2 linked regions of the Kluyveromyces lactis genome follow. The protein of the gene in region 1 purifies or fractionates together with the protein of each later gene. This does not show direct contact. Links are inferred from orthologs where the notes say so. Each region holds a gene or a part of one and is shown on either strand. Other genes may lie near its edges.

The links.
Region 2: the proteins of HGH1 (region 1) and CCT6 purify together in Saccharomyces cerevisiae (affinity purification with mass spectrometry, with the first as the bait; 3 studies listed by BioGRID). This does not show direct contact. The link is inferred for Kluyveromyces lactis from reciprocal best matches to the Saccharomyces cerevisiae genes HGH1 and CCT6.

The regions. Positions count from the first base shown.
Region 1 is NC_006042.1:1,426,274-1,429,506, forward strand, and holds HGH1 (Hgh1p), read right to left. Parts: upstream 1,725-3,233; coding exon 564-1,724; downstream 1-563. Other genes in the region: transcription factor IIF subunit TFG1, read left to right, coding at 1-378; EMC6 (Emc6p), read left to right, coding at 2,135-2,452; mRNA-binding protein PUF3, read right to left, coding at 2,850-3,233.
Region 2 is NC_006040.1:1,555,055-1,558,941, reverse strand, and holds CCT6 (chaperonin-containing T-complex subunit CCT6), read right to left. Parts: upstream 2,205-3,887; coding exon 570-2,204; downstream 1-569. Other genes in the region: SLY1 (syntaxin-binding protein), read right to left, coding at 1-207; methionine aminopeptidase MAP1, read right to left, coding at 2,860-3,887. UniProt on the Saccharomyces cerevisiae protein: Molecular chaperone; assists the folding of proteins upon ATP hydrolysis. Known to play a role, in vitro, in the folding of actin and tubulin. In yeast may play a role in mitotic spindle formation.

The sequences.
Region 1 (3,233 bases):
TCTGACACACCATCAGGTCCACCAAAATTAGTAGTAAAAAGCATTAATCAAAATATCGTTGTACTAACTGGTGAGAAATCAGTATTATCGAACTTCCCTGCAGGAGCCTGGAATCCAAACTTGAAGAAACGTCCAGCAGAGTCTCAGCCACAAGAATCTATGGACAATAAGAGGGCAAAGTCTGATCACTCGGCAGATGATTTGTTAACGGAAGACGATATAATCAATGCAATTGAGGGCAAGCAGTTGACTTTGAAACAATTAATCAGACAATTGAAAGAAAAGGTCGGTAGACATCCTGACAATAAAGAAAGAATGAAGGTTTTTGTCAAGAAACTTGTTAAACTGAACGGTAAATTCCTCGAATTGAGTAAGTAGTTAACATAATTTCCTCGTTTTCAAACCTCTGGAGATATACATGTAGTGATAATTGATATATATCACCTGGGTCCAATTGGAAGGGGCAGGAAATAGCATATTGATATAGTCAGTTTATTAACAATAAGTACGCTTAAAATAAATATATGTTATTTGAAAACAAGATATCTATAGGAAGTTATCATTTATAAAACTTCGACGATAGCATCGTCATCATCGTCGGACTCTTCTTCTTCTTCTTCTTCTTCTATCTCGGCTATTTCGCCATCTTCCGCAGATTTGGCCACGATTTCTTCTATCACTTGATTCTCCGGCTCACCTCTCATCAACATGTTAACAATTCTATGAGATAATTCACCGATATCGTCATTTCCAATATTTTTATGTAACTCTCTGACCAATGGGTATACTGATTTCGATCTTAAGTATTCTCTGCCGGCTTTAGTGGTACAAAGCAATAAAATACTTTCTAAATGCACACATATGATTTCAGGAATAGGATCTCTCTCTTTGTCGGCAGGTAAGAGTTGCAATTCATCCGGTAGATTGAACATATCTTCTTCATCAATTTCGGAGTCTTTAGCTGATGCAATCGGTAGAAGAATATAAGGTAAAAGATTGATTTCCTCATTAGTCAAAAGGTTTTCATGCTTTTCGGAATCAAATAACGAATTCTTGATGGTATAAGCCACACCTTCTCTTCTGGTTTTAGCATCATACTTTTCAGTGAATACCAATAGTTTAGAAATTGGGATGACGCCGTCATACTCCTGCTGTTCAATGAAATACTCTCTACCAATCTTAAATCTCGAAATGTCGGCAAAGAAATAAGCTAAGTAGTCATAAGTGGCATATCTGTTCAACTTTCTATCGTAACCCTTCACAAAACAATCCATTAAGCAATCCATTACTTTGTTGCTTTTAAAGACTTCTATGTTTAATGGAATACCATCGTCTTCCTTCTTAACAAACGAAAACAATTCGGTAATATTGTCTTCCTTGGCGAGATTAGACAATAAAATACACATGATATCCGCACTTGCGTTAGCTAAATCACAGATTTTCCACGATAAGTACTGTAGGAATTCAGTATCCTTGACGATCAACTTTCTCATAGTAACATCATCACATAAATTCGCTAAAATCGTAGTGGATTGTTGAACGATAACTTTTGACTTATCTTTAGCTAGAACTTTTAGATCCTCTATAGCTTTGTAATTATTACATTTGAAAATGACAGCACTTGCTCCAGTTGAGAAGCCAACCAGATTATCAAGAGCAATCTGTCTGACGGCAGGCTGGTCTGAATGCAAAAATGACACTAATTCTTCTAATTCCGTGGACATCTTCCCTCTTTATCGTATCAAGTAAACGCAGATATTTCGAACAAAGATGTTTTATTGAACAATGAAAGTTATAGTTGATTAGCTGGTGAACAATACCTAGTTACACCAACTGCCAACGTAGATATGGTTGATGCGATGAGCTGCGATGAGTTTGTCAAACGTTTCTCAAGTTTCGTGAAAGAAAAGGTTCGACTCTTTAAGGCGGGTAACAATTACATCAGCATCAAACCGACAATAACAGATCTCCATCTTCAATTAAATGAATAGAACCACCGTTAGAAACAGAGCTTTTCAATCTGCGATTCGATTGATCCTTAAGTGCTGCATTTATCATAATAAATCACTTTTATTCTAGTCTTGGCTTATTGCAACCAATTGCAATCATAACTACGAGATAACAGCATTGGAAAATGAGTTATCGCTTCACCGACCTAAAGTCTTCCAAAAGTGGAAGTTTCAACAACAACAAACTACTACGGATACAGGATTCTACAATGCTGACAGCAGGACTTAGTGCTGGGATATTGCAACTTCAATCTTTTGCAGGTTTTGGAATGTTTTTTGCTGTTTATATCCTGGTGAACCTCATATTTATAGCGTGGTTTTGCAAATTCAAGCCTAGTCTATATTTTACTAATCCAGTGCATAAAATATGGGTTAAAAATCTATTCCGCGAGCTAGCTGGGTTTGTCATGACTTGGACGTTAGCGTTCACTTTGGTCAGGTAACGCATATGACACATTTTGCATTAACGGGTTGATTTCATCTGAACGATATCACCATTAGGATTCTAGAAGTACTATAATATTATGGTCATTAAAACTTATAGCAGAGATAAATATTTGCATGTATTATAAACAGGATGATGATAAACAATATGTACATTTAAAGGATATTAATTTATTAGGTAGTAATCTGTTCTCAACAACAGATTTTAGAAGATATTAAGATCTTCGTGAGAGATATCACGGGGATACAAAACGTAAGAAATGGCAATCTTCATCAATAGAATGATTTAGAAAGTGAACCAGTTATTAGGGAAAGAAAGCGTGGTTATCAAATGCAAATATTCGAGGCAGAACAATTTTTTTTGTCTTGCTTTCCCAAGTTGAGGCTGACATACATCTATATCTGAATTTTTTCCACCAAAGTTGCTAACTTTTCAACACTAGCCAAATGCCTGTTACCCAAAGTGTTATTTTTATTGGATTTATCCAAATAGGATCTGATGGAAATAACAATCAACCTCTCATCTTCACCAGTTGCGACACCCACGAGCTTTTGAACAACGTAGTTCGCGTATTGATCCCGCATCATTAGAATCAATGGTGCATTATCTTCCAAATCAGCGGCGTGCTCTTCGTCTCTTGGTAGAATTTGATCCAAAATCTGTCTTATCTGGTTTTTGGATCCGTAAACTACTGACTTTTCAACAACATTGGAGGCAAATTTGTGTTTTGAATATTCAACAACATTCTTACGAATGATATCGATGATATTTTGTTTACT
Region 2 (3,887 bases), on another chromosome or scaffold:
AACATTGGATTTTAACAAGTCATTGACTCTCATAACAGATGATATTATAGCGGTGCTCCTAGCATCCATGATCAGTACTTTCCAAACGATCTCTTGTTCATCAAGATTGCTTGTTGCTGCTTCCGTTCCTTTATCTGAATTGAACAGTAGCATCTTTTCAATAGACAGAATCTGTCTGTCTCTTAAGGACAATTCTGAATTCAGCATATTACTCTGGTATATATGTGATCCCGATGAGGTATGCTGTTCAATGGTTTGCAGTCAATGACTTCACTCTCGTCCGTACTTTCTGTACTTTTGGTGTGTCTGTTTATTATAAAGGTGCTTCCAGTTTTGATGTTTAATCATTTTTTGAAGTATATTAGTATTTCGTTTTCGGTGATGGAAACGGTATTTGGCCAACACGTAGATTTGGATCTATAGCACTCGTGAAGAGATCGCATATTACATATACATCGGCCAAACTTGAGTCTTGTACTTCGTATTTATTTCCATTTAGTATACATAATTCTATTTGATTTTGGAACCTACGTTAAAGACAGTGATATTTTTTAATTGTACCAGCTTCATTATTGTGGTGGACCTTCCTTCAATGTAGATCTACCGGCTCTGAGTAGTTCGTCGCATAGCAACAAGTTAGAGGCTATACCTGCGGCACCAGTTACTGCATTTCTGAGGACACGATAAGAGTCCCAAACACCTTCTATAGTTGGATCACAAGAGTCGCCAATATTTAGATCAACACCCACTATTCTTGTCTCATCTTCTTCCAACTCGTCTTGGCATTGGGCAAGTACATCAAGGGCATCATATCCGGAATTCTTTATTAATGTCTTAGGAATAGACAAAAGTGCGTCTGAAAAGGCTTGTACACCTGTTTTTGCTTTACCTTTGGCGCCTAGCTTGTTCATATTCGCCCTTTTCAAGTGCTGGGAAGCAGAAATGAAGAATGCCCCAGCGCCAGGAACGACAGCACTGTCTTTGATGACATTTGCAACAGCTCTTAAACCATCTCTTACTGCATCTTTGGTTTGGGTCAAAGCGTGGTGAGTAGAACCTTTAATCAAAATGGTACAAGACTTAGGATCTCTGTTTTCGGTGACGTAAGTAAATTTCTCCTCGCCGATAGTTTCCTGGTAAACCAATCCGGAATAACCTAAAATTTTAGGCGAAAGATCATCAACGGAATTTTGAGCTTCACCCCCAGTGACGAGTTGTAGTCTTTCCATATTACGTCTCTTGGCTCTTCTTAGAGCAAGAATGTTGTGTTTAGCAAGAACATCTAATGACATTGGGTCGATACCTTTTTGGTTTATGATAACAAAACCCTCTTTAGAATCCATACCACATACTTCATTCTTCAAGTCGATGATTTTTTTTAATTTCTCATCAACAAATTTTCTTTCACTAGCAGCCAACTTGTCTCGTTGGTCAGCAGAGCTGTAAAAGAAACCAGAGTTGACTTCCGTCTTCTCATATTCCAAAGAAACATTTAGAATCAAAACATGTGCATTTTCGACTCTGGTTGGCATATCAGGATGTCTTCCTCCATGATCCAAAATTAATCCTTTAACAAAAGTGGTATCCTGTGGAGATAGATGTTGCATTTGCATTATTTCAATCATGTGTAAATCTAGATTTCTGTTGTTAGGATCTTGAACAGCCAAAACAGCATCAGTGACGATTGGTGTTAAAACTTCAGTGAGTTCTGGGTTGACTTTAGTACATAAGGAACTTCTGGCAACCTGCAATAAAAATTCACGATCCAAATCCTCCTCAGCGCTCTTTTCGATTTTGAAGGTATCCAAAAAACTTAAGGTTTCCTTTCTTGCAATCTCAAACCCGTCAGTAATTGTTCTTGGATGGACACCTTCTTGAATATATCTATAAGCTTGTTTCATCAGTTCTCCCACCAAGCAGACAACGGTTGTAGTACCGTCCCCAGTAATTTCATCTTGGGCAGTGGCTGCACGAGCAATCATGACAGCAGTCGGAGACTGTATTTGCATTTCAGTCAATAGGACTTTACCATCTTTGGTCAACTTGATATTACCGGCACCATCGACCAACATTTTCAAAGTACCCTTAGGTCCTAGGTTAGTTTCCAAAACGGATTGAAGACCCTCCGCTGAAGTGACGTTGACTTTTAAAGCAGCATCTCTTCTTAGGGACTCGGCCTTTGGATTTAACAACTGAACTGACATAATTATCTTGCTTTCTCTCTATTATGCACTGCACGTAATTGGTATTGTCAAATTATGACTTTTGATCTGGATAATAAGATGCAAGCAATTGACTGCAATGAATATCACAACTAAATATTAGAGAGTATAGATTGATTTCGGTTCTATTAGAATCAACGTTGTGGACGAAAATGCAACAGTATCTTTCACTCTTTTGAATGTTATTCTTCTTCAACACCGAACGTTAGCCATAATTAAAAGCTTTACTTTCTCCATCAGAAAACTTAGATCACTGTTTTCGATTAATTTTTTTTCTTTGGAAGTGGCGAAAGCTAATGGTTACCCGGTTATTGAAGCAAAGCAACAATCCATGCTGTCGTGATCCTCATATTTATGCAAAGATGATGAAGATTATACTTTAGTAGGACCGCACATCTTCAGTATAATAAATACTAATAGTGGTTTTCAATGAGAATTCTCTAAATATTTTGGTCTTCTGTAAATTGATTTATATGATGATATGTATTGAATCTATTCACATGAAAGACTATGCCGAAATGATGTCCGTTATGACGACGATGATGGCTGTTTTATGGATTGTTTCCTATACGAAACGAGGTAAACAGTAACTTTCTCTATTGATATTCATTTTTTAACTATTGTCATTTCACTGGGTCTATTTTATCCTATTTCTTGGGCCGCCTGGAGACTTCTTGTTCCTTGCCGTCAAGACTTCAACACCATTCTCGGTGACCAAAAGGGTTTGCTCAAACTGAGCACTAACTTTACCATCCTTTGTTGAAGAAGTCCAATCGTCAGGCCAGGTGATATCTTGCCATACACCTTCGTTAATCATAGGTTCTATAGTGAAGACCATTCCAGGTTTCATGACACCGGGCGTTCTGTTGTTAGCATAATGTGGAATGCTGGGGGCACAGTGGAAAAACTCACCGACACCATGACCACAGTAAGTCCTAACAACAGAGCATTTGTTGGATTTGGAGTGCTTTTCAATGCAGTCTCCCAAGGATTGAAAAGTTACGCCTGGTTTACACATCTTGATGGCGAGTTTCAAACATTCACGGGCAGTTTCAACGGTATTTATGACATCCTTGGCGATAGTCTCACCAACGTAGTAAGTTTCGTTTAAATCTGCATGCATGCCTTGGTAATACAATGAGACATCTAAATTGACAATATCTCCCTCTTTTAGAACATATTTGTCAGGAACACCATGACAGATAATCTCGTTCACAGAAGTACAGACGGATTTAGGGAAATTATAGTAGTTGAGAGGAGATGGGTATGCTCCCCTCTTGATAGTCTCGTTATGCACTATCTCATCAATTTCATCCGTAGTGATACCTGGTCTAACTGCGGCGGCCGCAACATCTAGCACTTCTCTACCTAGAGCACAAGCTTTTCTGATCCTCTTAATTTGCTCCTTATTGTAGACAGGAATCTTGTTTGTTCTATCATTTCTTTGTTCGATGATGGGTAGCCCATTTTCTGCCCAATCTGGTTTCTCGATCTCATCTGGGACCTGTCTTTTTGGCGACAGAGGGTATTGAGCTTTCAGCTTGCCAGTATACTTGAATTTTGGAAACGGATCATACACCTCACCAGAACCATCTGTACCATAATGTAAAGCCTTATGCTGTTTGTACCCGTCTTTGAAACAAGATTCTCCACAAAAGACCTCTT